Linked DNA regions of Drosophila melanogaster. The protein of the gene in region 2 interacts with the protein of the main gene of each other region in a pairwise test. Each region holds a gene or a part of one and is shown on either strand. Other genes may lie near its edges.

Region 1 (7,356 bases), on a different chromosome or scaffold from region 2:
TGGTGTGGTATCTATGCTAACGCTACACAATAGACAGATAGATACAGTGATGGGATAGATAGATAGATTGGTAGCATATATGGGTAGAATAGTTTGCACCCCTTGGATGAGATGGTTGAGATGGGTGAGGTGGTCACCCCAGCTGGGTGAAGCGATGATTTTTATGGCAACCCTCTGGGGTGCAATTTATCACATGGTGTCCTTGCATTCTCGCATCCGCAGGATTAGACAGTCAAAAAGCTAGTTGGCAAACACGTGCACGGTTGAATCGCTGGTTTAGGCCGAGGCACTGGGGTTGGGCTAGAAGTTCGCCAGAATGAAGGTACTTCTCTACTTTCGGGTACTCTTGTATCGTATCTAATGTCGCACTTGTATCCACTGGTGTGTCCTGGTCGAGGCGACAAGCACTTAAGCTAATTTCACGCTCTGCCGCCGACTATCCTTTGGTCCAAAGCTCCTGTATCCTGTGGATTGTGCTCCGCCTCCTGCTTCTGCTTCTTTCAATGCTCCATTCAATTTTTCCAATTTCAATTTCCGCTGGCCGAACAGCTGTCGCCCTGGCCAATTGGTAAACCATTAACGCCAGGCGTTTCGATTGATTCTCGAGTGCGATTCGAATAGATTCTTTTCGAAATTCCGTCACCACCGCAGTTAACCGATTCCGTTGCGATTGTGTGTGTATATGGCGAATAGCTGTGGACTCCCAAAAACGAGTTGCGTGGCAAAGGTTCTGGTCCAAAGTAACCGTTACCAAGTAAATAAACTTTAACTGTCGCTATTTGCAAATGTGCAAAGGCGGCGGTGGGCGGTGGGCGGTGGGCGGTGGGCGGGGAGGAAATGAAAAAGCGAGCTCAAACGGTTATGGGAGCGGAAACGGTAACGGAGCGGTAGCGGTAACGTTATGCGTACGACACTCAAAAACAAGAAAACACCCGACATATATTTTCAAAAATAAATAAACAAAAGTTTAAAATTCGAGCAAAGGAAACACATGCCATTCAAAATGAGTTAATTTAAAATATATAAAAATATAAATAAAGAATAAAATATATAACTGGTAAAAACTAAAATATGCACACAACAAAACTTCCTTGTCGCCTGGCCTTTGTTTTTGTTTATGAACGCCAGTACACCCACACCCATGAAAATAGCACCCATACAGGGACAAACAGCCGATTGTCGGAATGCAGGAGTCGTTTTTCACTGGATAGAAAAGGATGGCGCCGAATCGAGTTGGTTGCCATTGCCACGTTTGTTGTTATTATTATTGCGAAAATGTTTACATCCATGGATCCACACAAATATATATATATGTATATATATATATACCCGTTACCCGTACCAACCAAATTAGGCCACTATTTATGGATATTGAAAACAGCCTCCCAATCGACTAGAATAAATTTGTCTTACCTGCTGTGCACTAAAATGAAGGGCCATTTCGAAATTTTGCACAAAAGTCGAAATTTCCGTGACGCTTTCACAGTTTCTAAAACAAAAAAATAAAAATGTATCCTCAATTTTTGAAAATTATGACAGAGGCTGCTCTACTTCGCTTTTACACAAATGGGCGGGGCTTGGCGCAAAGGACACGCCCGCTTTTGATACGTGGATACGTGGTTCTTGAAGGTTGGTGAAAAAGGGGGAACTGTTAGCATCTGGCTTTTCCGAGCAAAGCGTTCAGACAAATGGAAAACTCAGTCAGAGCAGCTGGTGTCCAAAAGTCGAGGGGAGTGTCGTGCAAAGGCGCGCCAAAATACATAAAGTAGACAATTTTTTATTGCGATTACAATGCTGTATATATTAATCGTTTGAGTATAAACAAATATCACGACTTAAAGGCTAGACAAAAAATGGATCTTAGTTTAAGGTTCTGTTTTTTTTTTCTTGGTTATTTATATTATATAAACCATGATCAAGGTTTACTCCGAGGATTAAGCACTGCTTTCCCATAAATTTAATTGTATGTACTACTGGCATATTTAGTTTTGTTATTTCCTTCGATATTTCTACTTTTCAATTAAATTACACAAACTAATAGCTTATATCTTCTACATTTAGTACGGGCATATTTTAACCTTAGGTTAAATCGTGGCTTTACAATTGTTTCTACGAAAACAAACCTAAGCCTAAAAAAAAAAACGAATCGAAACGAAACGACGGGCATTTGTCTTTCAACAGTGGCAAGGAAAAAAAAAAACAAAAAACAAAAAAATGTATGTATTTAACCATAGGTTAAATAGGTTAGCAAATCGGCAAAATCCATCGAACACTTCGGTTAAGTTGGTGAGATGGCTAATTCGATAATCGCATTATCCATAGCCGCCACCGGCAAAGTATCCAATGGAGCGATGTGCGGATTACAGAGCATGGTGAAATGCGTTTATCGGATGTGGAATATTCGCAATGTTTTCCCCCTAAATCCGCCCGCCACGCCCCCCCACCTCCTACGGGGGGGCGAAAAAATTGGCCTCGTTAAAGAGGCAGCTGGTGGCGAAACTGGAGGCGCCGGCGCTATCTCAGGGCGTCTCCAGCACATGATTCAAATAGGCAATGTAGCAGATGGCCAGCTTGAGGATCTCGATCTTGGAAAGCTTCTTGTCCGGCGGCAATGTGGGCAACAGCTTGCGCAGCTCGGCAAAGGAAACATTGAATGCCTCCACCCGTATACGCTCCCGCGTCGCATGTGCCGTTCGGTATTTGAGTGTCGCTCGCCTGCGACGACGCCGCTCCTCCCGCGATAGACCCACCAATTCCGATGGATCCAAATGGGCAATGGGCGTGGTCCGGCGACGTGGCGCCGGCGTGGGCGGCGGTGGCGGTGCCGGTTGTGCGGCCGTTTCGCACGCCATTCGCGCCTGAAAACGCTTATCGATATCCAGCGTCGTACTGGCCGCATAGTCCTCGTTGACCAGATGCGGATTATTTGGCCCAATCATCTCATCATCGTCGACCAGATAGTAGCGACTAAGCGAAATGCTTTGCGGCGGACCCGCCGCCATATGGCTCATATCGTAGACCATTCTCTGGCTATTTGCACCACTGATTTCGGTGCTGGACACTGGACTTTCTTGCGCTGCCCAGCCTGCTGCTGAATGCTGGAAATGGAAATGGAAGCAAGAGGATGCACAGCTTAGACTATGAATACAACGAAATGTGTACTTGATTGCTTCACAGATCTGCATTTCAAACTCAAGGAAGACGAAAAGTGTGGCTACCTTTGCGGTGGAGCGCTCATGCTATTGAAAAAAAAAAGGTTACAATAGGCGTTGAAGAAATCATAATCCTTGCACTCGAATTATTTATGCTTCATTTGTGGACATTTGTGATGAAGGGTGTCCGTGTGTGTGTGTGTCGTCCTTGCCGATGAAGGACACACCCCTTTTTCGCTGCATTCTGTTTGCGTTTGCTATTATTTTCATTTATTTTTATTGTACTTATTGTGCTTATTGTCGGCATTGTGCGTGTATTGTTTATTCGCAGCATATTTTCACACCTACACAAATAGCTGAACAATCGGCACGTTTATTTGCCCGCGGGAGTTGGCAAACCTCAGCGATGCCAACCCCTTAGGCTTGGCCACCCTTTTTTGTATTGTTGCGGTTAACGTATGATTTTATATCTATTGATTTAATGGGTTTTGGGTCCAAAAAGTGTCACTGGAATTGCATCAAGTCGAAGACGTGTCTATTGATCCCATGGGATGATGGAAATCCGATCTAGTTTTAAGAACTTGTCGTGTAACTCAAGTCCCCTCAAGACTATGAAACTCCAGTACACTTACACATGTCGAGTGCGTGCACATGGTCAAGTTAGCTAATTAACAAATTTCTAGATATAATTTTAAACGAACTAGAGACTTCATTCAGCTATTTGTATCTTTAATTTGATTATTCTACTCGCTAGTACATTCACTTCATTTGCATTGCTCACAATTTTTGGGCTTTGTTGCCTGAACTTACAGCAGTTATCACAGGTGCAGAGTTATTCTAGATCCTTGAGTTGTCTGGCAGATATCCTTGCTTGCCACTAGAGTCGGTTGCTCGCCGGATGGATGCTCACGTGGAACTGACTTCCGGTCGGGAAGCTGCAGCCTCCTTTATAACCAAAATCGGAAACAACCCCATTGCGTTGAAAGCCAGCCAATGCCAAGTTATCCACCCTCGTCGATTAGCGCCAATTGTAGCTGACAAAATGGCGGAGATTTTGATATGAGACCGCCCCTTTCCAGAAATGGACATCATCCCCTGGAGGCTGTGTAATCCGATGACCTAAAAACTTTCTTTTCTCAACTAATTCTTGAAATATTAAAAAAAAAAACAACGAATATATATTACCATCTTATTGATAATGTTTTCGCTATCTTCAGTTTGTAAATGATAAATTATCTTCAGTTTGTACATGATAAATTATCACTTTTAACTTTGCCGCCTTTGCATTTGAATTGTATCGCTTAACAGCAAGCGGTTAACATTGGTTTACATAACGGCAGTATCCATGCTGCCCATCGATAGGCAACTAGTTAACCAGATGTCTGTGTAATCGTTATCGTCGGGGAAACATCAATTATTTCATAAGCGTTTTGCATTTAATTTTATTACAAAGGGGGGAAAACAATTAAGATGAACCTGGGAAGGCTGCTGAATCCACTGAGGAGCACCGCATGTTCGGTGCGCAGCTACGGAAAGCACAACAAGAAGTTCCTCTACAAAAATGGCCAGAAATTTGAGGGTATCACCTACTATCCCAGGTTCGTATTCACGTGTGCAGTGTATAAAAGGAAAACACACGAAATCCAGCATTTGTTAATGCTAAATCTATCCCGCTCAGGACTCCCGATCACCAGGATCCACCCGTGGAGCCGGCGAAACTTTTCCGGGTGCAGCGCATCAAGCCGCTAAAGGGCAATCCCTACTGGGAGAATCGAATCCTCAAAGATCTGGGACTAGACGGAAAGCAGAGCGATTTTACTGTCGTCAAGAACATACCGGAGAACAATGCCCGCCTGTGGAAGATCAAGCATCTAATTAAGGTTACGCCGGTCACGTTCCCCTACGGAGAGCCCACTGCCCAGGATGTCCGGCATACGATACTCAAGGAGAACGGCGAGTGCCTGGTAACCAAGGACCTGGGACCCATCGATACCCGCCTGGCGGCTCGCCAGGATTACGACGAGCAGCCCAAGCGACTGGATACCGATCTGCTGCGCAAAGATGCCCGCCTCAAGTGGCTAAATCCCTGGTAGTTAAAATTTGTTTTCTTTATTCCGAAAAAATAGTTTTTTAAATACAAACCGAAACCCAAACTAAGCATTAAAATGTGGAGTCGGTCGGTCCTTTCTCAGTAAATGGCCATGGCCACCTTCTTCTCCAGCGTCTTGCAGCCCGAAATGGCGAACAAGCTGTGCGTGCGATCGTAACTAATGGAGGAGTTTATTATGTCCTCAATGATTTTTTGGTTGTTCGCTTGCTTAGGATCGCGCCGCCACCTTAAAAGCTCCGCCTCCAGGCACTTGATCACATGCGCCTTCTCCATCGGCAGGAACGGAATGAAATGATCGATAACATGAGACTCAATCATGGTGGTCTTTTTCATACCGCCATCCATGTTATAGGCGGCCTTCCGCAAAAGGGGCTCAAAGTCACTCAGTCGTGTGTCCTCGCGCAGCCTACCATTCTTCATCACACTACCCAGATGACTGGCTATATGACTGCCCGCCGTGTTCGAGAGAAAGATGAAGATTGCCTTTGTGTTATCCGTGCCATCGACAAAGGCGTTGTAGTCCACCAGCGAGGTGAGCTGGTCGAATACTCCGCTGGGCATTTTATCCACCTCGTCGAAGATGAACAAAGATCTCGGGCAGCTACGCAAGGTATCGCGCACCGCATTATTGATTTTCACCCTATAGTTAGACACCTCACTTTCCTTGGGAAAGTCAGCTTGTCCGAGATACTTGGTTACATAGTTCGACCTGGAGCCCTTCAAATACATAGCATCTGCAATTTGCTCAGCCACAAAATTCTTGCCCGTACCGGGCTGGCCGTGAAAGCTGATGACCAGCGGTTTCCGTGACTTATTGCCCGAAGCGATGTGCGCCTTCAGTGCGGGGACGATATGCTGCCTCACGATGTGCTGGCCAATGAGGGTGCGTTCCAGGGATCTTTCTAATTCTGTAATTACCCACTGTACTGGTTAGTCATTTTGTTGCATACAAAACTACTCACTCACCATCTATTCTCGCCGGAATGTTTCGGTCATCGCAGCATTCGGCAAACCGGCAATATGTATGTTCTTTGAAGTACGCCCCAAGGGCCACGGCGCCAACGGCACCAATGGTCAGGGGATCCACCGACTGGAGGGGAAGCGGCAGTATTACAAGCACGCTAAGGCACAGTGATAACATGCGTGGAAAGCTCATCATAAAATGCAAGGAAAATTCCGCGGTGGAATGTATAGATGGGCAAAAGCGATAGGCAGCATAAGACTAGATTGCAGCACTTGCCGGCAACCGTTTCTATCGATAGTTGTGTAGCAGTGGCATTCAACAGATTTTTATTGTAAGTCAGTCAGTGGTATGTTTTGGTTAATTGAGTATGCCGCAATTCTGCGCATATGGCGCCAAAGAAAACGTTTATTCAGGCCCCATTTTCAGTCCGCCGCTTACGCCGCCGCTGTTATCGATAAACCCTGCCATCGATGGCGGCACATCTTTAGTTCTTTGGCAAAAAAAAAAAATAGCATCGCATCGCGTTTTTTGTGAAAATTGTGACAAAGCTGTTTTGAAAGTTGGCAAGCTAATTGACGCTCGCAGTGAAATACTAGACGCACCAACAAGGCCCATCCGTCAAGCGTATCCTGTCCAGGATCCCCGAAAAAGTCCAGGTCCAAGAGGTGTACCCATCAGCGTGCTTTTCTGTCTGCCGGTGGCCAAGGACCAATCGGTAATCGGTGTTTTCCGCAAAATTCACAGAAAATTCACGGGAAGATGAGTCGCAGGAGGGCTCACGACACGGAGGATGAGGGCTATGGTAAGTGGGCATCGATGTAATCATGAACGCAAAGCATTTATGGGGGCATTTAATTGCAGATCATCGGCGCAACAAGCGTAGACGTGTGTCCGAAAACCAGGAGATCGAGGATCGTCTGGAGTCGCTGATACTGCGGGTGGGCGAGCGTAGCACCTCCTCCGTGGAATCGAACCTAGAGGGACTCGTCTCCGTTCTGGAGGCCGATCTGGGCACGTTTCGCCTGAAGATCCTGCGCATCCTGTCCGACTGCGCCGTGCGAATGCCAGAGAAGTGTACCGTTTACACCACGTTGGTGGGCCTGCTCAATGCCAAGAACTACAAGTTTGGC
Region 2 (7,669 bases):
TTCAGCGGTGTTACCCAATCCGATTCTCACACAAATTTGCAAACGCACAATTAAGTCGCCTGGGAGGGAATCCGATGGAGCTTCCTGCAGCAGACCCTGCGGAGCGCATGATGTGCCAACAAAGACGTCAACTTGTCACCCGTCCAGTGGCCAAGTGGCCAAGTGTCCAGCTGGAGCGGCACAACGGCCTTTAGCTTGGTTAATTTATCATGGCCAGCGGAAGGGAATAAAGGAGATGTGCAAAGAGTGCAATTGTGTGAAGAATGTAGTTGTTTTTTTTTTTATATACGAGCGCTCTGGTTTTTGGGCCCTGGATTTCTTTTGGGCCAAGTGTTTGTATTTAGCCGCTGTGCCGCTGACTGATGTGCGGATATTAATAACGCTCAAATAGAGCTCCAAAGTGGGCAAGCTTTTTGGTCTTTTTTTGCAGTGGCTCAGCACAGAGTTTTTTTTTGTTTTTTTGTATAATCCTCACTTGCTTTAATCCAGCGAGTTTCCGGCCTTTAGCTCTTTTTGCCCCCGTCGAATGGGTGCTACACGCATATTGATTACCAGGTAGTCAAAACCAGCTGGGAATCGAGGGGTTACGAGCGTTTTAAAGGCGAGTAAAAGCTGCATTTGCAGGGTCAGTTAATGAATCCCCACAGCAGTGGTGAGTCAATCAACTGTTGGGACTCCCAACATTCCGCATTCCCACAGTGCATTAAGCCCGAGTCCGAGCCAGCAAATTCCTGTCCCAGGATAGCTGCTGGGAATCGGAGGCGCAGAACCATCCGGCCACTGCAAAGTCAACAGCAACAAAATCACTTGCGGTTTGGGCCAACATCCACAGCCACAAATGCGAACTGAAGTGGTAAGTTTGCTTTTCTTTTTAGGCGTGAGAATCGGTCGCCAATTCAGGTGGGCGGATTACAGAGGCACGTGTTGGTGGAAAGTCAGTGGCGAGAACGATTTCCCAGCCGATAAGATGGCCACTGTGAGATACATTTCGCAGCTAGATTTACGGCCTAATGAAAGTTTTACGAGGTTTTGCTCGGTTCATAGCGAAAGGTTACCCAGCTTTTGACCCTAATGGATCATCTGAACTGCTGGAAAAAGTGATAAAAGCGAGGTGAAGAAACTCAATTGGACAGAAGAAAGTTCCAGATGAACTTTTTCTGCTCGTAAAGCAAAGTATGGGGATCAGCGAAGACACCTGCGCTTATATAATGTAATAAAGGGATATTAATCTAGGACAATCTACTAAAATGTGAAAGGTATTTCCCAAGACAAGATGTTCCTATCATAAGAAGACTGATCATCAGTACAACTTAATCTCTAAGCTCTTTTCGCAGTAACCCATTTACAATGCAAATTTGCTTCTTATGACTAATACTACATAGTTTCGCTGAAAGCCAAATCAATACGGAATCACTTAACACACAAATTCCCCAATGCCTAATCGTTTCGAATTATACATTGTAGTGCTAGAGAAAACCAGATGCCATAAGGCGTTATAATTGTTTTACGCCACCATATCTCACAGGTTGCCGTGCGCAAACAAACAGTTAACAGGCTTTGTGTACCTTGGTTTTTTGTTAATTAATTGTTAACAAAACGAAGTGTCAACAAAAAAAAATATCAACCGAGAGCGGCTGAGAGAAAAACCACGAGTAAAAGCGCCAACTTCCAGTTTTTTGCTGACTTTGTGCCATCATTTATATTAAAGAAGTCGTATATTATTTTTTCATTTCGCTGCTGAACTTGTTTATTGAATTTACCATTTTGAAGCCGCTGACTCAGTACGATTTTCGCTGTAATTTAGCCGAGTTAGCGAGAAACGTTAAACGAGGCTGCAGTGCATAATATATAACCGAAAAAAACCCCCGATTCGGGCCAGCATTCATTTCAATTGAATTTTGAATATTTCGGAATGCTAAGCTCCAACATCAAATTGTGTTGCCAACGCTCGAATAAATTGTAAATCAATTTAAGAATCAACAAGAGAATGTACGACTTCGGGTGTGAAATAAAATAAAATAGCTTAGGAAAATTGCAGTAAAATAAATTGTTTTATTTTATAGCCGGAATAATTTAGAGTAGAACTTTTACATATATGTACGCAAAAATCCGGTTAGCGCACATTTATGTCGATTGACAAATGCTATTGTCTTTTTATTGCCAGTGCGGGTGTGTCTTTGGTTAGATGAAGAAACAATAGACTTGAATGTACATAACTGTATATGGAAGTCAAGCAACTTCCTCAAGCTATAAAGCCACGCATAAATTACCGAGGAAATTATACAAAATGGTTTGTTCAACCATTCACTGGAATGGAGCTCTTAAATACAAATATGATAGAAAATGGCTAAAAACTATAAAAGCGAATTGAGATGTTAGTGCCAAGATCTCCAGCGAAAGATAAACGATCCCTGATGCAGACCACCCTCGACTTCCTGCCATCGATTAATCAATAGAACTACTTCCTTTTAAAACGCCCCTCGCAAGTACTACGTGTGTGCAATGTGAAGACTAAATGAGGCGAATATCCTTTCATGGCTCACGTATCCAGCCCAATACAAGATACTTCTGTTAAGCACAGATTTGGTGGTACTACCTGTTCCGAAATCGAAGCAGAAGGCGCTAAACTGAAGGAAACCGCACTTGACAGTAGCACACGAGCAGGTAGGCCCAAAAAGGTAATCCCTCTCTCACGTAGTCTTCTGAAATTCAGGATGGGATCGCAGCACGTTGAGCCCTCTGGGGCGTATTGTACTCGTGCATTTCCTGATTTTTAATTAGCCAAATAGAACCTAACAAAGACAACAAGTTGGGCCAAACGGTCTGAGGCTACGTGCTTGGTATGTGAAATCTTTAGCCCCTCAGTGTCCACAGGAAAACAATGCTCCAGACCGAATACTCCTGTGTGCGAGAGGACAGGAAATTAATTCGATATCAATACTTTTCTGCGGTTGCGTTGAAAATTGCGAGAAAGTGATGGTAACCACCACCTCAGGCTAGCAATTTTATAATCAAAACCAACCGCTTTTGGACATCGGGATTTTCCCCACTCGTAATCATGGTTACACCGCCGTCTGGTGGACAATGCTAACTTATTATTGCAACTCCTCATTAGATGATATTATGTGGAATTGACATTAAGGAGTTTGACAATAAGCACAGCAAAGACAAATGAAATGATACACATGTGTATCCGATTGGGGGGCATTGTTAATCGAAAATCCCCAATGAGCATTGTTACCGAACTGAGTGATATCATTCATCTGAGCTTGAAACAACAGAGACGGATTTTCTCACAGAAATCTACAAGATATGCATCAAATCAAATGTTTGGTCGAGACCCAAAGTTTGTGTCATTCATAATCGGCCAACAAAGCAACTCGACTAATTAAGAGAGTCACTCGACCAAGAAATTTACATGAAATGTTTATGCATTTCCAAAATAGCTGGGAAGGTCTTATGTCCGCCTGTGTGGCCCTCTAATGGAAGTTTGAAATATTTGCATAAAAATTCAAAAAAATGCTGAGCAAATTGTCGAGTTGCAGATCCACGGATGTACACTTGTCGGAGGCCAAGAACCGGACAATGATGCTCAGCAATTCCGTATTTGCATTGTAATCCCCCTAGATGACCTCGGGAATGGAGGAAGTGACTGGCCAACAGCTTGGTTACCGTTGCGGGTTCAATCAACTCCTCTGGCCAGCGAAACTGTCTGGATCTAATCGCGCAATTCGATAATTGAGTGCAGGAGAGTGGGCTGTGAAAATTCTGGACTTTCGCCAAGGCGAGAAGAAACCCAATCGACCGAACTAGATCTCGTCTAGCAATCAAACTTTCTAGATGAAGAGCGAAAACTGGACCAGCGATCGGGCGCTTACCTTCTAGCGTATGATTTGTAGTATCCAAATGTGATTTGTGTGTAATCCCAAGACCTTAAGGCCCGAGACTTTGATGGATGGCGGTATAAGAAGTCCGGAGTGCGAAGACAAGACAAGGTCGCGTCGTTTTTCTTCGGCTGCCGCTTTTAGGGCCCTTTGGCTGCTTGGCATTAAGTTATCAAGCACTCTACGCCACTTCGCATTTCTTCGCGTATCCAAAGGTGCGTATGCGTACGTGCTCCCTGCTGGGGAAACAGGTGCACTCAGGAAGCAGCTGCACTGATTTTTATTTTAGCGTTGCACTTTGAGTTTCTATCCGAATTTGTTCACTTTTTGTACATATGTATATTCCTTTGGCTTTCGTACCAATTTTATTTTAGATCTGGACGCACATTCACTTTCGTTCGAATAGGCTCGCTACCGTTAGCCAGTTCACTAAGAATTGGAAATTTTCGAGCGGAGCTAATGTAGATTGAGTACCGCACTCGGCAGTGTTTACAGACGCACTGAAGCCGCACGGCTAGCGTCTGCGAGGTCTAACCCGCTGAGAGGAGTCGCATTCAGATACCTGTTTTGTATGTGTGTGTGAGCTGGCTCTCGCGCTCTCGCCTCTCTGCACTCAGAAAAAAACTATAGCTAGCTTGATCAGCGGAAAGCAACGCAGATACTTGCAGTTAGCAAGTTATTTAATAATTTGATAACTAATATTTAATTTTTTTAAGCTGACTATAAAATTCTCTCTCTTCTTATCTTCTACAGGGGACTTTAATTCAACTTGAAATGAGCCAAGCTGATCTGATACCATGTGAATAGTATGAATGTTAGGTGAATGGATTTTGGGAAAACGCAAATCGTTCATAATGGAGCCACTGGGGGTGTGGGTTGGCGCTTCGTGGGCGAGTGAGCGGGCGAACTAGTTCTGTCTGCGGCTCGCTCTTTTCGGAGAGAGGAAAACTGGTTTCCAATCAGACTTAGACTTTGCCGGCATGTGGGTTTCCTCATGGAAATCTGGGGATGGGGATTCGCGGTCGAGCGACGCCGGATGGGCTTGGGCAGAGCTACATAAATGACCAAAGTTGAAGGGCGAGGCACGGCTAGAGTTTACGGACTTGTAATAAATCAGGGAGTTTTCAAAGCAGAAGACTTTAGCTAGTAATCGTATGTATATATGTGTTCACGCTAGAACGGCATTAGTAGTTTATTTAGTTACTAAACAACAAGAAAATTCAAAAACTGTACTACCTTAACAGTTTCCACAACAATCAATATGAAGCTGATGCATTTTTAATAGGTAGACCTTAAGACTCCTTCTATAGTATTCGATTAACAGGATCGATTTTGTAACTTTAAGTCTGGCGAAACTAAATCCAGGAAATAAGCCCTGAACTTTGGCAGTATGTAAACTGAAAAGGTGAAAGAAAGTTCAACATTCAGGCGAGATATTCCATTCCGGCAAGTCGTAGATTGCTTCGGTTTGATGTTTTTTAGACCCCACAGAAACAACAAAGAAAAGCAAAAGTTTAAAAATTAATTATGACAAAGTCAAAAAGTCCAAAAATTATTAATGAAAGTGAAATTATCATCAGCGAAGCGAAAAACAAAAATAAATAACAGATTTTTTGTTGCTCGATAATTTGCGAATGAAAAGGAAGGAAAAAACCAACCAACTGATGCGCCAGTAAAATTCATTAGACTTTGATAGATGAACTTGATGAGTCGATGTCGCTGATGGACGACGGACTCGCAGAGTTGTGAAAATCTGAGCGAAAAATGCGGAACCAATTTTATTTGTTTGCTTTTTGAGAGTAATTTAATTAGTTGGAGCACGGCAAGTTATGTTTGCATGTGACCCGGGGCGGTCAATTAAGAATTCATGAATCAGGCCCTAATTAGAGGTCGCCGTTTAACAAATTGATACTGGTTTTGTATTCACATTGAAGCCGAAAGATCTGTTCGAAGGTGTTAATAAAGCCCAGTCAAATTGCTTGGCTCCTTAGAACATTCTCCGTTCTGACTGAAGGGTATCAAAGTTTGTCCTCGGGGCACAAAAAGTTACATCTTGTAGCTAAGTGGCATTCCTCTGACCAACGGTTAAATATTTGTGCAGCACTGTGCGGACATGAAAATGGTATCATAGCACGCTTTTCACACAGCCGTGTGAAAAGTACACACCAGCCCAGTTTGAGGGAGGGCAGCTCAGACTCGGATGCAGGTCCCCTGCTCTCCTCCAGTCCACCAGACTCCAGATGAAGATGAAGTCGCAGCGAAGGTATGCTCCAGTTACAGAAGTAACAGTGTTTGTTCAGCTCAAATACAGTAGAGCCTACGAAACTGTTCATGACGGCCCATCGAAAAAGCTTAAAGTAAAATATTTGATGCCCTTGCCGTCGAACTTGTAATTATATGCCACGGAATTGAAAACAAAAGCATATCATATTTAATATGAAACAATGTTTTGCAACAATCTTCCAAACACAAACAGAAATCTTTCGAGTTCTGCCCTGGTAATTCGGCCTGTACGCGCATGGAGTTGCAATTGCGGACTCAGCGCGGCCGGCTGCAAGTTAATGGCTAATGGTCAGCAGCTGCCGCAGCCAAAACAGACGTGCTCCAATTGTAAACAAAAATGTTGGAGCTCGGATCGCCCAAACACACTCGCCTCGAGCTGCACTTGTGTTGGTTTGTATCCGTATCTGTATCTGCATCTGCAACTGTATCTGCATCTGCATCAGCATCTGCTCCGGATGGCAGCGAAGTCTGTCAAGTGGGTTGCGATTCCGACTTCCCCCTCGGTGCAAAAAGCACCGACTGACTTTTTGCGTGCTGAGCACATTTCCTATAAATAGTAGCTGTAAACCATAAATAAAAAACGAAAAGAGGCAGAGAAGCGCAAGGCGAGGGCTACTCTATTCATGCCATCTATCAAGTTGCAGGCACCCGAGATGAAGTTTGCGCTCAAATGATTTGTTTAGACGGCCTGCCACTAAGTGGTGGTAGCCTGTTAAGGCCGCTTTGGTTGTACCGAAATGATTGCACAGCGAATTAGTTGGCATCGGAGTAAAGAGCTATCCGTTTAAGGCCTAAACATCACTTACCCCAAACGAGATCGTCTCAATTGGTGGATATAAATCAAGTTCGGTTAGCAAAGCAGCTGATATTGGCTGGCCGTTGGCTTCAGTATCCATGTCATAAACAAGGACTTCCGATTGCGGCGTCTGCTCAAGTGGCAAGTGCCACGAGCGGCTTAGCGGAGGTCCTCATTAAAGCCGAAACCGAATAAAACACCAAACTTTCAGCAGCTGAGGGGCGACAGCTTGCAGACCCAAACAGGTGGCATCGGCAGTTGGGTCAGAGACAAGTCCTGGAGTGCGGGTCGAGGGACGGAAGGGCGGGAGGACTTCCGCCGATGTCCTGGCCATTTCGTAGCCAGGTGGCCTCGCCTTCGCCAGGTCAAGCGAAAAGGCGTCAAGGATATCAAGGATTCATAACTCATTTACCGACCTCTTGATGAAACCACTTCGATATCAAGTTCTGCTGGGCGAAGCAGCTAAACGGAGAATTACTTGCAGTGGCTTGAATTCATAATGATAATAATTAAGTTACAGAAGTTTATTTTACCAACGTTAAATTTTATATATATATTATAGGTAAAATATTGCATACACCTTTTAGTTCAAACGCGCTTTAAGTGGACTTGTTTATTTTCATTTTAGTTGCTTGCTTTGTGCATTCAGATTCACATTTTAAATGATATATTATTGCTGGATGATTTATTATGCGAAACATTTTCT
Region 3 (7,440 bases), 2.4 Mb from region 2:
GAAAACCCCATCTAATTCAATTACGATATTCAAACTTGGCACATAAAACTAGTAACTCCCGTGGGCATTTCTCCCTTTCAGTTCAATGCTTACCTACGACTAAATATGCGTCCTTTTGGGCGTCAGGATAATCCTTTTAATTTTAGGCACAGGCACACGAAATTCGAAATTCGGGGTGCGGCAAAAGTAGCAAAAGCAACAACAACAGCGACAACAACACTAGGACTCACGCACACACACAAACGCACCACGCACGCACACAAAGGCCGCTTGGATACACTTGAAAAACTTTTGCCTTGGGTGGGGCGTTTTCTTCTCTCTTTTTTTTCGGTTAGATTCGCAAAAAATTTTCCAACGACGCCATGGAAAGGATTTGCGATTTAAATGTTTTATTTGGGTGTTTTCCTATTTTCGGCTATCTTTGTAGGATGCACTGCACTTTTCGAATCATTTATATGATTTAGTAGAGATAGAAGTTTGTTTAAATACAGTTAGTAAGAGGGTAAATAAGGGTGGTTTCACTTCACCGCTGAAAACCAACCGAATTTTCAAGGGTAGCGGCCGGCGCATTAGAAAAATGTTTGTAATTTGAAAAGTATTGCAAATAAACACGTTACTCGAAACTTTAACGCACACTTGTGTTTATTCGTAAATGTCATGCAAATCAGATATATTTTTTTTAAGCAACTAAAACACAGTCTTTGGGCTTAATAAAATATTAAATGCGAAAATCTAACGAACGTCCACACGCGACGAGGCCAGGATAGAAACTCCTGCCACGGTTACTGAACTTCATCCAGGATATTCAGAGGGAAACTCAAGGGAAACTCCGCTTCCAATTGGAACGGCATAACGGGATAGGACGACACCGTAGTCTACACCCAAGGACTGTCGAGGGTGGGTTTCCACACACATTGTGCCGGCTAACAGCTGCTTTTGTGTGTGTATTTTCCAACCCCCACAGTGCTTACTTTCCAGCCGGAGACTGGATTGAACGGTGGTACATATACGTTCCAAGCCGAGCGCACTGGAGACTTTTTTCCTCCGAAAACCACATTTGTTTTGAAACGAATGCAGCCGGTCGCCGGAGCAGAGTAAGCTGAGTTTCCCGGGCGCCGGATGGTGAAAATTTTGCGAGCCCGTTAGGTGCCGTAATAGCGACGCAATAAATGACGTAGCCACGACGACAAGATGAGACGCCCACTTGAACATGCATAATGAAAGGACCCTCCTCAATTCACCATTTTGGCCAATTCCAAAGCGGGCCCAGTTGCCGGTCCTTCGAATCCTGAGATCTTTCATTGTCAGCCGGAACTGACTAACTCCGATGTGCATTTTGAGTAGCGTATTCATATTATTTTTACAAAATACAATGTAGCATACAGATATGAATCTTTTGAAGTATTAGTTAGCAATTACTTAATTGCTATAGTATGGTGTATAATTGCTATAGTATGTATAACACCATTTGCAGATTATCCATGAATTATTTTCATATTATCTACCAATAGATAAGCTCTATTTATTGATTCTACCGATCAGAATCGAATAAAAATACGTAGCAGCTTCTCATAATATTTTTGTTTTTTTCGCTGTTATCTACATTCTCATTTTGTGTTCGCTAATTTAGCTTAAATTATGTCGATTCATTATTTTGGCTGAATTAGTTTTGGCCAAATAAAACCTGTTGGCCGAAATGCGTACAGCAATTTGCATGACTCACCTCCACATTTTCCACATCGAAGTAGCTGAAAGTTCGCTTGGTCAACTCAAACCATCGATGTTTGTAATTCACGGGGGTGAAACGCTTCTTGTTTTGAGCCCTTTTCACCATCGATCCACTTTTCACGACATCGTACAGCCTTTCGGACATCAGATCCATTTTTGCTTGAAAGGATTTGCTGCTCGATCGCAGCGATGATGATGACTTAATGCTGCCATTGACATGCGAGTTTCGATGCTTAGTGCCCATCATCTTGACAAGAAAAAGTGTCTGAAAAGCAAAGAAACATATTAGCTAACCAAAAGTTAATGTTAATATTTACACGCATGCCAAAACGTTTTTAACCCTTCGAAATAAGACATATTTGTATTAACCCAAGGGTTTTTGTCTGTGCTTTGATTATAGCCATGCATACGTATGAACAGACAATATTTAATCATACATTTATTTATCCCATTGGCAAAATAAAGATTTTTAAATAGTTTAATGGCCATTTAGTGGGACGTCAGAATGGATGTCGCATTGGCAAACAGAGGGTTAAAATTAGAAGCGCTCGCCCAAAAAGATTGGTTACAACACACTCTGCAGAGGCAAGGCCATAAATCTATTTTGGGGGGCGTGGGCGTGGGCGTGCGAATCTTTTTTGCAGCGCCCCTCGAGGCATTGACCGTGGAACATGGGGCCACCAAAACATTGGAGCACTGGGAGTTACCTGGTTGACTAATTGCCGTGGGCGTTCCGCTTGGCATCAATCAGTATGGGATGGCGAAAAGTGGATGAAAATAAAGTTATTCATTTACAGATACTGTATACTGCCTATTAATGGAGAAGTGTGGAGCCAAGGAAGGGAAAATCCAGTGGACAGACGAGTCGGTCAGCAAATCGAACGATTAAACGAACAATTAATTAGCCCCCGAGCAGACAGGAGATACATATAGGTTGGTATACACTAGTAAAGATCACTTGCTGACCTTGAAGTCGCGCACAGCGGATTAAAGGATTAGCCCCCAAAGCGGCATATTCCCCATTTCCTTGCCACCTTGTCCCCACAACTTCCATTTCGCAAAACGAGAAGCGTGTACGCAAACAAACGGGCCGTTGAAAAGGTGGCTCCAAGCGGAGGAGCAGCCACCACACGATCTCTGGCATTATCACACTTCAACAAAAGCTAACAAGACGCAGGAAGACTCCAGGAGCGAAGTGCTCTGAATTCGGGAATGGTTGAGTTATTGATTTATTTAAACATCTTACTAAGGATGATTTTAAAAAGAGTTTGTTTAATAAAAAAAAGTTTTAGTTTTCTTTACTCTGACGATATGATTTTCTTTATCTGATTCACAAATCCGCTTCTGATCATCAAGGAACATGAACGGACGCGTCTGCAAAAAAGGGAAACAAAGCTAAGGCGACAAATGCTCGTGCGACAACAACAATTGGCTGGATCTCCTGATCAACTCTTCCTCCTCACCGTCTCCTGACGCCCCCCACCCCCCACGCGCTTTAATCAAGCAGAGCCGCTACAAAAACAGGAGCGGAGTGCGGGGGCATGGGCGAACGGAGCGTAAAAAGAGAGGGCGAGAGAATCAGAATCTTCAGCGCAACGCGCATGGCCATAAGTAATAAAATAAACACGGACCGAGGCACAGAAAGGAAAAAAAGGATGGCAAAAAGGCAGAAGGCGCAATGTGTACATAAATCTTTTTGGTGGAGCGAGAGGCCCAAAGACCTGGGCTATAAGCACATCAATATACATACATATAGTATATATGTATATATACATATAGCGGGCGTGGCCTGGCAACTCGTTTTTGACTTTGAATTTCGCCACGCAAATGGTCGCGCTTAGTTTGTATTCTTCTTTGCATTTAATTTTTGTTTATTGTCGCGCTTTTTCTAGTGGAAGAGGAAGACTGGAGAATCTGCGACCTTAGCAAGAATTTCAGTCTAATTTGAAATCAATTTTTGAGTTACTTTATATTCCAAAAAGATTGATTTTTAATTTAAAATAAGTTAAGCAACTATGTAAACGATATTTTTTTAGCAGTACTTCTATTTGTTATTATTACAACAACAAAAAATTTCGTGTAATTAGTTTCTATTGTGACTTTAAGCTAAAGTCGCCATAAGCTGATTAATAAAATCAGCACAGCATAATTATTTATATTAACTTTGATTTGTTTTTTTTTGCGTTGCACGATGCCTTAAAATGAAATGCATTCAGAAAATGCAAAAGCAAGGGCGTCTGATTAGAATGCGTCGAGCACAGAGTTCGCCTTTCTTATCAGAATACAATAGTTTCAAGCGCAGCTTGCTGGGCAATTGAATAAATGCTGATAAGACAAAGAACAAAAGAAGTATGTATGTAATTCGATAGCGATAAAAAGGGGACGGAAAGGAGGAATAAAATTGATAACTGTGCCAGTTCACCAGCTTACCACAAGTGCCGTTGATTGAGCAATTTGAAGCAATGACCCGACCGCATAGCAACAACAATAACAGCAAGTACAACAACAACACCAGCAGCGCACACCACTAACAAATCACAATTCTCCAATTGGAGGGGGCAGACGCAACGGGTAACGCAACAATAACAAAACACTTTCGTTTGCGCGGCGACGAGAGTAAATACGAAATATCAACCGACCGGCTTGTTCAGCATTTGCATACTGCGAAAAAATCTTTATAAACAATATATAACGCAGGCACAGCTGAGACGCTCACACAGACGAGCAGACACCCGCACACACCTGCACGCAATTTTGGAGAGCGGGAGAGGAGCAACAGGCGCAACGTAGGATTCCTGGAATTCCTTACTTAGCGGCGCCCATGGCAGTTGCACTCGCGATCCTACGCTTTAACTAGAATCTTTTCCGTTTATTCACGTGGCAGCTGTATCTATGTTTGATTGGTTTGTTTACACTAATTAACTGTAATTAAATAGTAACGATTTAATACGAAACTAAACGCGCCGCCGCAACTTCTTTGCAGTGTGACCGCACTTCGAGTGGGGAGATACACCGATATGAAAATAACTACTCTTAAAATACCAGAAGAATACAAAATACCACACATACTGCCTTTTATTTTATTTTCCCGCGTATTTCAATATTTCAAAAAAATAACTAGTGATTTTAATTATTTCTTCGTTCCAAAATTAAACAAGCAATGTGACGAAACTTTATATATTTAAAGCGCAATATACTAAAGGAAGACGACTTGGTATAGTTACTTTTTTTAGATTACTAACAATTTAGAACCATTGCCGCGCAATTTTATTCAAATCAATTATTTTTTATTTGAAAAAATACTGTACTTAAGTACTTAACTAGCTAGAATTCGTTACACTTTATCAGGCCTACAAAAATAGAGTTTAGAGTTAAAAGAGTTTTGGTAATGCACGACAGCGGAGTAAGTTCGACACAAAATGCTAGTTAATATTGGGAATGAGATGCCCTCCAAGTCCACATCACTTTTCCTTCTTCTGTATGGAGGCAATCCGCCAGGCGCCCACCAAATATCGCACCCAGATCATGAACAAATCCCTGCCCATTTGCAGCCACGACCAAAATGGTGTCAGTTTCGAACCATCGATCTCCGTCCATCGAACGGCAACCTCGGACATTGGTAGCTTCAAATTCTCAGCGAGGTACAGCAGCTCAACATCAAAGGCCCAGCGCTCCACATGCAGACTGGTGAAGAGTTTCCTGGCCGTCGTTCGGGTGAACAGCTTGAAGCCACACTGGGTATCGCGAATGGAGCGCACGGCAAACAGCCAGACGAGGAAATGAAAGCCGTGCATCAAAATTGTTCTGTGGCAACGCAGATCAGTATTTGGTCAGCTAATAAATGTAGGATTTTATCTTACCTGAAGAAACTCCTTGTTGCAATCGCATCGTTCTCCAGATGTGCTCTCGATCCAATGGCAATGCCATCGTCTCGCCATTCGGGAGCTAATTGCTTGAGGGCCACCTCCAGTTTATCGTAGTCGGGAAACTTGGTGGCTCCATCCGCATCAGCGAAGAGCAGATTACGACCCCGTGCACTTAGCATACCCATGCGAACGGCACCTCCTTTCCCACGATTTTCGATGAGTTCCAGCACGCGTACCTTTTCTGCTCCGTGCTTTTTCGAGTAACCCAAGGCGACGGATACGGTGGCATCCTGACTGCCGTCACTGACCACGATGACCTCGTATGTGAAATTGGGAGTGCCAGCAGATTTCTGTTCCAGAAAGGCCAAGCACTCGTCCAGCATAGAAGGCACTAAACGAGTATAAACACACACAAATGAGAACAAGAAAATCGAATAGCTTTTGGGGAAAGTAACTTAAAGTAACATGTTAGTGTAATGAAGTTTCTGTAGATAAATTCGGGTGCCAGACAATCAATCACAAATGGGCATAGATAAAATGTTGACTGTGATTCACCAAAACAAAAACAAATAAGCAACATACAGCGCTGCTCCTCATTGTAAGCTGGTACGATGACACTGAGCTCCAAACTTGGCGAGTCCTCGAGACTGGGAAAAGTCACTGTTTTAATGGTGTGCGGGTCCAGGAAGGTCTCCTCATCCTTGTGCCGCTTGATGTTGGGATAGGGCTTCGTCTTGTAGAGCACCAGAGCCGCAATCTAAACGATGGATTATCAGTAAAAATAAGAAAGATAGGCGAATGTATTCAAGATCTGACCGACAGCGCAGCGACTGCAAGCGTCGAGAGTAGATAGAAACAGAGCTGGCAGAGGCAGGTCCACATTGTAGGGCTTTTTTTAGCAACTAGTTTGTATGAACAGGTGCGCCTGCTACCTGCCAGCAGACATTACTTCTCCAATTTGTGCGAGATAAACAGAGCCACGTATTTAATTCCAAGAATTTTAGACCGAAATGCCGCAGCTGATTAGGGTTGTCAACTCAATTTAGGGATGACACTTCTCCGCAAAACAGTGACTCATTCACAGTCACCGCAGATATCGATTAATGGTCTATCGCAGTAAGAATTCTATGATTTTGAATTAAAATAAAATATATAACAAAAGGCAATTTAAAATGGTTATAAACTTTCTTATGCTTGCGAATATTAAGTAGATATAGGTTAAGTATGTAGTTTTAAATAATAAATCAAAAACTACGATATGATATAGGACTCATGGTACAAGACTTTATAAAACACATTTTCTGATTGATTTTTTTATGTTAACATAAGTTACTCTATATATTTTAGTCAATTCTAACCTATAAATACTATTAAAAACTGACCTTAGTCACAAATATCTCTGCTTAAGGATCGAAACACGCATGCGCGCTCTTTGAAATTCAAAAACAACAAGTTCTGAGAATATACGTAGTCCTCTCCCATTCAGATACACACCATTGGAATTTTTCATCGCCTCTGCGCTGGGCGGAATAACAATTTGTTTATAGTCAATTAAAATGTGCTTGTGAATCGTAAAAAAAAAACTACATAAAATACAAAATGAAGTTTTTAAACTTAATAGTGGTCGTATTAGCTTTAATCTGCAACGAAGTTCAGGGTCTAAAGTTGCAGGCAAATGTTGGAGAACTCTTCACCTACAAAATCGAACCGCAACTCTTTAACTGGACACACCAGGTGATCAGCCAGCAATTTCGCTACAGACCCTCGCTGAAGAATTATCCCGATTTGCCCAGTTGGATGCGATATATGTATAGCCATGAATACCATGCCGGCTTCCTCTACGGAA
Region 4 (10,408 bases), on a different chromosome or scaffold from region 2:
ATAATACATTTTAGTATTATAATTTTTATCTTTGGCTTTACTCTATTTGATTTTAAGAAAGTATACAGCTAATTATATCTTCTTTACCTGCGATATCAATTGGCTTTACATTGTCTACTTTGCATAAATCTGAATGATAAGATGTATTATCTTGTTATATGATGAGCAATATGCCATTCTCAATTCAGATTTCTTCCTGTTCAGAAACAGATTGACGAGATTAATTTCCGATATGCTCGGTGCTGCTTTGCATACGTATGTATGTATTTATGTTCAGTCTTGAAACGTATTTTTTTATCGGCGTCTGGAATTTGTTGCGATTTAGCAGGTTCGTTCGTGTTCCTGACGTTTGACAGTAACGTGCAGGGCAGACAAATCATAACGGTAAAGCTGGCAAAACTGTTGGCGGGCGGAATCGCACACAGTGAGAGCGAGAGAGGGAGGGATAGGGATTGCGGATAGGCGGGTGGGGATGGGAGGTAGACAGCCGAGAGTTGACAGGTGGCCAAAGGCAATGGAGTGAGAGGGACGGCATGTGTGTATTTGTATGGATGCTGCAGCTACCTCCACTTCTTCTTCTTCTCGCTTTTCTGATGAAGTCAATTAGAAAACTGCATTGACAGTTAAAAAGTGTAGGGGAAAGAGAGAGGGGAAAGAGGCAAGACAGGAAGCGGAAGAGAACACAAGTTGTATATTTATGAACATGAAACAGTGCTTGTTTTCAGCATTATTTTTTTGTTCAGTGTTAATCAAACACACATATAAAAATTCGTGTGTGTGTGGCTGCGTGAATGACTAGCAAAAAGCGTTCCATAGTAACTGCTGCAGGTCCCGGTCCAGTCCTGTCTCTCTCTCTCTCTCTTTCTCTTTTTCTCTCTGTGCTATCAGCCTGACATTTATATATAAATATATTAAATATATTAAATATATAAATATATTAAATATATAAATATATATATATATTTTAAATATATATATATATAAATATGTATATGCGTAAATGCCTAGCAAAAGGCTGGGACGGGGCCCTGCACCTGCTAATATGTAACGCTTTTTGCTAGTCATTCATTTTTTATATATATTTATGTATATTTTTTATAGATATATTATATACATATATTATTATATATATATATATATACTAGACTGGACGGGGCCCTGCACCTGATACTATGCAACGCTTTTTGCTAGTCATTCACGCAGCCACACACACGCGCCGCTTGCACATACACGCTGGGTAATTGAATTTCCCGTTTGCAATTGGAAACCCGCGAATTTTCAATGCAGGACTACACTCGGCTTCCCTCGCCGAACCTCTACTGTACTCTAATTAGCAATTTTCACACAGCCTAAGGGAAGAACAACTGAAACTTTCGACAGCTGATCAATCATTAGCCCGATTGTTCTCGAAAAACGTTGCGAAAACTCTGCTGAAACCGCTGACAAAAAATCACAAAATCTTCTACTATTACCTGCGTTTCTATGCATAATTAAAATGACGTCAACCCGAAAACTTGATATCAGCGTAGCTCCAAATAAGAGCCAGAAGCTGACAAAAAAAATGTTTTCTGTGTTCTCCCACACATTTTGCACCACGGGAACTTTTCGCATTATTAAAATGCATAACGTTGCTTTTGCATTCAAGAACATTCACACGGCGTTTTCTTTTTGTTTTTTGCTAGGTATTTTCTATGACTTACCTTTTAATTTTTCCTGATTGCGCGCGATTTTTTCACTCATAGTTCAACAGCTGTCACCAAATAAATTCTAATGCAATACCAAATTTGAACTTAAAAAAAAAAAGTTGTGGGCAGGAAAAATGCGGAATGCGTGTGTATGTGTTTGCTTATTTCTCTTTCGGTTTATTTTTTTTTTTAACAATTTTGCACGCAATACAAATTTAGCACGCCGCGGCTACTTCACTTTGAGAACAGAGAACGAGAAAAAAAAGAACAGTAGATAGGGAATTGTTTTTTCAGAAGATCTCTAGGAACCGGGTTGAAAAAACATTTGCCCCAATATACTTTATTGTGCGTGGATGTGTGGGTTTTTTACCGCTAAGCGTGTCGCCTGAATTTTACACTGGAACGGTAAATGGAAGGTAGAAACACCCTGACTTCTCGACAACTGAAACACAACTGAACGTTTTGCTTGCTGGTGATTAACTGAGTGACGGCTTCTATTTCGGTTTTCGACTTCGGTTAATCACACGACGGACGACGAGCTCCAACATACGAGTCGTAGGCGGCTCTGATTGGCCAGAACACGGCCGCGTCTGGCAGGCCACGCTTGGCGGGCGACGTCTGGCACCAGTGATGCTTATTATCGATTCGATAACACTTACCGATGTAGGGATGCTAATAATTGACTAGTAACGGGGGAATATTTTGTCGAGTATGGAATTAAAATCCGCGTAAAACTGTTGAAAGTCAAATATGTTCTCTGAAATCCTGCACTCGATAACCGGTATTCAATATTCGATTGAATGCAATTTAAAGACGGACATCACTGATATAGGAGTTCTAAACGATACAAGCAGCTGACTTTTCGGGTGCATTCGATTTAGCTTATCGCAAATATCAATTTATTTTATCGCACGCACTCGATTTATTTTATCATCTATGTATACATTTTTTTTTTTTAATTTTATATAAAAGAATTACTATTGCTGGCTAGCGGTGTTTCGATAAAAAAAACATATTTTTTGTATTGCAAGTAATTAAAACTATTTACAATAATAATGTTAAAGAAATCCAAGCCATACATTGTACATTCGATTAAATTTTGTATGATGCAACATAGTTTCAAAAGAAATCGACATGTAACTGACGAGAATATAAAAGCTGAGACGGATAATGAAACATATCTTTAATGTTATAAATTACAACCAGTTTGTTTCCAAATTTTTTTTCATTGACATACTTATTGCGTCAAGTAATAAACTAATTTAAAATAAGCATATGTAAAATAATAATGATACAATTAGTTTTTTTTATAAATGAAAACATTTATAATTATATGTTTGTCAAAAAATGCATTATAAAATGATATAAACGTTTGAAAATATACAGTACCCAAAATAATATTTGTATTCTTAATAATCTCGTTAGTTATCCGTAACTTGTGGTATTCATATATATCGCTATAAACATACGACTTTAGCTATATGAATGTATTTGAATGAGATGTGCAATAAGAAAATCGTTACCTTTTTTTAAACAGCTTATTGTGAATTCAATTATGATTATCATAATTCATTATGGAGACCAGACATTGTTTATTAAACTTATTGCTTTTAAATGTTAGAACAAATTTTAATTGCCAGAGAAAACTTACTTATAACAACTTATAATAAGTGTATAAATTACGAAAATCTTAAAAATAATGCACTCAATACATTCATCGATTGCAACCCCGTCCTCGTTGTTATCGATTGGTGTGCTGCCAGCATTATACATCGCCTATGGAGCGTGGTGTTTTCGACCTACTTTCACAACGGTCACACGCTTTCTATTTGATTTTTTTTTCAACATAATTTTTGTTAAACAATTTGCCGTGAATTTTGTTGTGTGTGTGGATGTGGACGTGCTGACAGCCAAAAAAATTAAAATAAAAAAAAAAGAAAAGTGTTCGCAAGTCGAGAGCAGAATCGAACGGCAAAAAATGCTGGCGAACAACAAATCATCAAGGTAAAACTGCGCGCCTTGGTCATTAAGTCTTTCATCGAGGATAAAAGACCGATGTCTTTTAACGTTATTGCTGTAAGCAAAAGCAGAAATCACAATCTACTCATAAATCCTCGATTTGGTGCAAATTAAAGGAAATTCATCGGTTTTTGGCGGCCAGTTGCAAACACAAAATACTAAATACGCTAGATGGAGCACGCATACACGCAAGCTCGTTGGCGAACGTAAATTACATACATCATATAGATAGTCGTCCCGCTTGCACTGCCCGTCACAGCGAGGGCTGCGAGAGCGAGAGCGGGAGAGAGAAAGGCCTGAGTCGCTTTTTCTTCTTGTACTTTATATATTTTTTATTGTTTTTTTGTGTTGTGTTGCGTTGTACGTGTGTGTGAGAGTGCCAAATGTCAACGGAAATTACAACACTGCGAGACGGAGAAGTCTAAAAGGCAGAAGAAGAAGAAGCAGCAGCAGGCAGCATAAACAAAACTCGGGGGAAAACCACAAAAAATAACAGAGGGAGAAGCAGGAAGATGTTGCCCGCCAATAACAGGAGTAGCACCAGCACCCATACCAACACAAATGCCAACACAATCAACGCCACTACCAATACCACCAACAGATGCCTCATCAATACGGCCATCGAAAAAACGGTAGTCCGTTTGCGAGAGACGGCAGCGAATAGCGGTACTTTCCAGGACTCAGATGAGTCGTCCGTGGAATTTGATATTATTAACTATTATGGGGACGACGGCGGCACAACTCCAGCACCAGCTCCAGCCACAGCCTCCGTTACTCGCCACGGCGGCAGCAGCAGCGGCAATAACAACAATAACAGTGCATGCCATCCAGCACTGGATGCCAGCAGTGATGTTGTTGTTGTTGAACCGGCAGCGGTAGGAGTCGCACAGGAGGAAGAGGAAGAGCCGGAGCAAAGGCCAGAGAGGATCAGCATACCCATTCCCGACCTGGCGTTCACCGAGATGGAAGCATATGCCGAGGATATAGTCGTCGATATGGAGGGGGGATCACCAGCCAAGCCTTTAAATCCAAAGAAACAACGTTTAAACTCAGCAACAACCACAACAATAAATCGCTCGAGGGGCGGCGGAGCGGCACAGAGTCGATTACGCCGGTCGGCGGCCATCGTTCCACCGCGATCGATTCCAGAGAGCTGTGCCAGCAGCAGCAATTCCAATTCGAGCAGCAGTTCCAACAGTAATTCCAGTTCCAGCTCCGCTACAGGAAGTAGCGCATCCACCGGCAATCCGTCGCCGTGCTCCTCCCTGGGCGTCAATATGCGCGTAACTGGACAATGCTGCCAGGGAGGCCGGAAATACATGGAGGATCAGTTCTCGGTGGCCTACCAGGAATCACCGATCACCCACGAACTGGAATACGCATTTTTTGGCATCTACGACGGACACGGCGGTCCCGAGGCCGCGCTCTTCGCCAAGGAGCACCTTATGCTCGAGATCGTCAAGCAGAAGCAGTTCTGGTCTGATCAGGATGAGGATGTCCTGCGGGCAATACGCGAGGGATACATCGCCACACATTTCGCCATGTGGCGGGAACAAGGTGAGCAAGAAATAGCTGGGAAACTAAGCCATCTTACAGTTGAGACAACCCAAAGAAAGCAGTTAGTTGGCATAAAGATTTTAAATCATACGAAAAAAAGAGAATATAATATACTTGTATTTGTATTTGTTTTTGTGCCTTCTCTCATGCAATTTCATATCAAAATTGTTGCCAATGCCAAGCGACCGTTAGAGATGCGCGAAAACTGAATTAACTGCCAGTTGGCGGCATTCAAACCGCGTAAGTCCCCGTTGTCAGGGTTGCCGTTTCGCACCACCCCCCCACCCACACAAAAAAAAGTTGCCTCAAGTTTCGAGCTGCTCCCTTGGGTCTCCCATCTCTAGGTAATTATGCAACCGTGTGTGGCGATGACTCAACCATCGCTCAATTGCTCATCTCTATTGTCAGCCCACACTAAAAAGATACAAGTACAGCAGCAGATACAGATACAAATGCACACACACACTTAGTTATCGCGAGTGGAATATTCCACGGACTTGCCATATGGCTGTACTCTCGCCAAGCATGGCAACCCCGCTGTGAGTTAGAGCGGGACGTCCGTATGGCGGCGCGGCCCACCAAGGCGTTTCGAAATGCGAGAACGAAAGAGATGCAACGAGTGAGAGAGCGAGAGGTGGCCAAAGAGAAAAGAAAATAAATGTGTGCCCATTTTCCTATTCGCATAACAAAAACAATGTACACAGAAATTCAAGGGATGCCAGAAACGCAGATACACGTTTGTAGGTGTGTATCTGTGTGGGAAATATCAATATCCGTCGTTTCGATATACCAATATATTCAGTTAAGCGCCAAAAATCCAGGGGCCTTAGAAAATGATTTTTTCAACTGCTTGCATCATGTAAAGTGGCTGTTTAAATGCTATTACTCATTGCCTCATTAAATATATAAATATAAGTAGAAATTGTATTTAGTTGTTTGGGAAAATCCAGAATTTTAAAGCGATTTGGTATTGTTTTCTTTTTGTCCTTACCCTATTCATTTTTTATAATTTCATTAAGTTATTTAGGTTTTCTGTTAAAATGAAGGAAATTTTATGACTTACACAACCATTTTTTTTTTTTTTTGTTAAGGCTTAATTCTTCTTTGATAACGTATAAGTTAAGTTGGAATTATGGAAAATTCTAAAATCTGGTATTATCCTTTCCCAACCCCGCAGAGAAATGGCCACGCACTGCCAATGGGCATCTGAGCACCGCCGGCACCACCGCCACAGTGGCCTTTATGCGTCGCGAGAAGATCTACATTGGTCATGTGGGTGATTCTGGGATCGTTTTGGGTTACCAGAACAAGGGCGAACGCAACTGGCGTGCTCGTCCACTGACCACGGACCACAAGCCGGAGTCACTGGCAGAGAAGACGAGAATCCAGCGTTCCGGCGGCAATGTTGCCATCAAATCGGGAGTTCCGCGAGTGGTATGGAACCGACCCAGGGACCCAATGCATCGCGGTCCCATTCGCCGCAGAACTCTGGTAGATGAAATACCCTTTTTGGCGGTGGCTCGTTCCCTGGGCGATCTCTGGAGCTACAATTCCCGCTTCAAGGAATTCGTTGTGAGTCCCGATCCGGATGTCAAAGTGGTTAAAATAAATCCCAGTACCTTTAGGTAAGTGATCCTGATTAATTAGCTAAACTGCTGGACATCTTAATATTGAATAATTTGCCTGCAGATGCTTAATTTTCGGCACCGATGGCCTGTGGAATGTGGTGACCGCCCAGGAGGCGGTGGACAGTGTGCGCAAGGAGCATCTAATCGGCGAGATACTCAACGAGCAGGACGTTATGAATCCCAGCAAGGCGCTGGTGGATCAGGCCCTCAAAACCTGGGCCGCCAAGAAGATGCGTGCGGACAACACGTCCGTTGTGACTGTGATACTAACACCAGCGGCCCGCAATAATTCGCCCACAACGCCAACACGTTCCCCATCCGCGATGGCACGCGACAATGATCTGGAGGTGGAGCTACTGCTGGAGGAGGACGACGAGGAGCTGCCGACACTGGATGTGGAGAACAACTACCCTGACTTTCTCATCGAGGAGCATGAGTATGTGCTGGACCAGCCGTACAGTGCATTGGCCAAGCGACATTCGCCTCCGGAAGCCTTCCGCAACTTCGACTACTTCGATGTGGACGAGGACGAGTTGGATGAAGATGAGGAAACAGTGGAAGAAGACGAGGAGGAGGAGGAGGAAGAGGAGGAAACCAAATCGGTGGGAATTCTACAGCAAAGTTTGTTCAACCCCAGAAAAACGTGGCGCAAGTCAACCATCAACAATTCCTGGAGTGGCGTCACCGAACCGGAACCGGAACCCGATCCCGAACCAGATCGAATAGATGTCTTAACACTGGACATGTACTCCCACACCAGCATTGACAAGGGCACCAATTATGGCGGCAGCATAGCCCAGTCCTCAATAGATCCTGCGGAGACGGCTGAAAATCGTGAGCTGAGTGAGTTGGAGCAGCATCTGGAGAGTAGCTACAGTTTCGCCGAGTCGTACAACTCCCTGTTAAACGAGCAGGAGGAGCAGGAGGCACGCTCACGTTCAGCAGCAGCAGCAGCCGCCGCCGCAGAAGCAGCAGCAGTAGAAGCACAACAAACCACTGCCCATTCCGCATCCGTTGTGCTGGACCGCAGCATGTTGGAGATCATCCAGGAGCAGCAGCACTATCAGCAGCAAGAGGGCTATTCGCTAACGCAACTAGAGACCAGACGTGAAAGGGAGCGGCTGACCGAATCGTGGCCACAGCAGCCGGCTGAGCTGCTCGAGCTGGATGCTCTACTGCAGCAGGAGCGTGCCGAGGAGGAGCAGGTAGCCCTGGAGCAGCAGCAGCAGCGCGAACAGCAAATGGAGCAAATGGAGGTGGAGGCCATTAGTAGTTCGGGACAGCACGAATTTGCTTACCCAGTGACCACCGCCACAGCCAGCGAGTGGTGTGCTACATTACAAGAAGACGAGGAGGAGTTGGACTCCACAGTAATAGACATAGTAATTCAACCCGAACAAGAGTTGCAGGACAATGAAGTGAGCTCCACGTTGCCCGCCACACCCACTCATGTGGAGCCTGAGCAGATTGTGGACAAGATGGAGCCCCTGAAGGTTCAGGAGATGCTAACCGCGGTCGAAAAACCTCCATCCAAGCAGGAAAAGAAGCTGCCGAAGAAGCAAGAGACCAAACAGGTTGCTGTGCTAGATACAGTGGCCGAGATGCCCAAAGAGGATGCCCATGCCGTGCACTATATATTCCAGCGCATTCAAAAGGTTCAGGACTCTGAGGCAACACCAGTGGCCGTGACGAATTCCACAATGGCTGACGCCCTGCCCACCGAATCTAGTGGACTGGGAGGATCTATGACCGCGCCCCGAATCCGACGCTATCGCAACGTGCCCAACGAGAACCATCAGCACATGCAGACGCGTCGTCGTCAGATCTTCAAGCATGTCAAGCCAAAGTCCTTCATACAGTCCAGTGCTGCGGCGATTGTGGCCTATGGAGACAGCACCGAAACGGTCGGAGGAACAGCCGGAGCATCTGGCACACCTGCAGCTGGGCGTGTAGGCGGGGGCGGTGGCGGCGGCGGCGGCAGAGGATCGGCCAGTGGTGGGAGCAGTCCAGCGGTGGCAGCCAATAGTCGGCGGAGCGTCAATGTGGTGGCCAATGCGAGTGGAAACAGCGCTAGCAAAGTTGTGCCCAGCAGCAGTTCCATGATGATGACCCGCCGCAGTCACACCTTGACGGCCAGCGGTGGTGTGAACAAAAGGCAGCTGCGCAGCAGTCTCTGCACCTTGGGCCTGGGTGTGGGTGTCGGTGTCGGTCTGGGCATGGACCTGGACATGACCAAGCGCACGCTAAGGACAAGGAATGTACCCGCTTTGTCGGGCGGTTCAGCCACGCCATCTAGCAATTCGTCGCCAGCCAGCGGAGGCAGCAGTCCAGCCGGTTTCACAAGCCCAGCCAGTCCGGTCATCACGTCCAGGGGAAGCGGATCGCGTACTACCGCCTCGCCAGCCAGGCGCCTAAAACGCAGTCATGAGGATCGGGAGCAAAGAATGAGCTTGCGACGGAGCACTCTGAGTGGCAGTGCCAGCGGCAGTGGGCTGGTGGGCACTGGTGGGTCGCCCTCGAATGTGAAATCAAATCGCCTGCAGGCCTGCAATGGAGCCATCTCTGCGCGTCCGCCGCCCTCGCCGAAGAAACTGAATGCAGCCGTGCCCACATTGGCAATTGGAACGCGTGCATATACGGCGGCGTTGGCGGCGGCGGCGGATCACCTGAACAAGCGGTGGTCGTTGCGCAGCAGCAGTGGCAACTCTGGCAATCTGATAACCGCCATCAGTTGCTACAGTGACAGGAGCAGGGCGGCGACTGCGGCGGGATCACCGGGATCTGGAGGCGGGGCAGCGGGACCACCAGGAGCATCTTTGGCCGCATCCACAGTCGGCACGCGAAGGCGCTAGGCTAGATTGTAACGAAACATGCGAGCAACTTGCAAGTACAAATCCTAAGCAACGGAAAATTTTAGATCCTAGTATACTACTTTACTGAAAACGCAAAATTGCATAATTTAACCAATTTTTTTATGTGCACAACACACACACACACACACACATCTTTTAAATGTATATATAAAAAACTGTATAAGCCGCCGCATAAAAAAAAATATATATATTGATATATATACATTTATACCTACGCCTAAACAATTAAACAAATTCATAGTGTAGCTATAAGTCGAAGTTAGTAAATAGCAAAAAGTACATAGGAATATATATATAGATATATATATTTTTTGTATCGCCCAAAGTAAGAAGTTCTCCAACATCCGAAAGTTTTCCTCAACATAAATATTCTCTTTTCTAACTAAATCGTTTCGTTCAGTGTACGGCAGACTGGAAAGTATTTTTATCTCGTCTCTTGTGTTTAACTGTTTTACGCTATGTTGTCTAAGATAGTTGATAAGTTAGGCTAACACGAGAGAAGCTAATATTTTTAGGTTTATCATTTAATTTTTTTTTTTGTTCTTCGCTTGTAAGGTGTTCACCACTTGCGTTTGCAAGTCATTTTCATGTCATCGCGAAATATTTTCAATTGAAATACATCTATTTTTACATAATTCTATGGGTT

What was found.
Region 1: the proteins of rau (region 2) and HLH4C interact in a two-hybrid assay, tested with the Drosophila melanogaster proteins (one large-scale study listed by BioGRID).
Region 3: the proteins of rau (region 2) and Btk interact in a two-hybrid assay, tested with the Drosophila melanogaster proteins (one large-scale study listed by BioGRID).
Region 4: the proteins of rau (region 2) and Pp2C1 interact in a two-hybrid assay, tested with the Drosophila melanogaster proteins (one large-scale study listed by BioGRID).

Annotation. Positions count from the first base shown.
Region 1 is NC_004354.4:4,643,345-4,650,700, forward strand, and holds HLH4C (helix loop helix protein 4C), read right to left. Parts: upstream 4,071-7,356; 5' UTR 3,963-4,070; intron 3,099-3,962; 5' UTR 3,024-3,098; coding exon 2,520-3,023; coding exon of another isoform or gene 2,448-2,519; 3' UTR 1,783-2,447; downstream 1-1,782. Other genes in the region: CG3062 (uncharacterized protein), read right to left, coding at 1,414-1,440; mRpL30 (mitochondrial ribosomal protein L30), read left to right, coding at 4,623-4,750, 4,831-5,245; torsin, read right to left, coding at 5,341-6,170, 6,229-6,421; Cbp80 (cap binding protein 80), read left to right, coding at 6,986-7,028, 7,088-7,356.
Region 2 is NT_033779.5:5,875,110-5,882,778, forward strand, and holds the start of rau (rau), read right to left. Parts: upstream 4,390-7,669; 5' UTR 3,879-4,389; intron 1-3,878.
Region 3 is NT_033779.5:8,296,348-8,303,787, forward strand, and holds the start of Btk (bruton tyrosine kinase), read right to left. Parts: upstream 4,400-7,440; 5' UTR 4,159-4,399; intron 1,994-4,158; 5' UTR 1,976-1,993; coding exon 1,724-1,975; intron 778-1,723; exon of another isoform or gene 94-777; intron 1-93. Other genes in the region: wol (wollknaeuel), read right to left, coding at 5,190-5,532, 5,589-5,985, 6,177-6,351, 6,411-6,476; Scgalpha (sarcoglycan alpha), read left to right, coding at 7,194-7,440. UniProt on the Drosophila melanogaster protein: Required for proper ring canal development. Also required for the development of male genitalia and for adult survival.
Region 4 is NC_004354.4:4,679,965-4,690,372, reverse strand, and holds Pp2C1 (protein phosphatase 2C), read left to right. Parts: upstream 1-3,469; 5' UTR 3,470-4,216; coding exon 4,217-5,261; intron 5,262-6,438; coding exon 6,439-6,886; intron 6,887-6,950; coding exon 6,951-9,741; 3' UTR 9,742-10,385; downstream 10,386-10,408.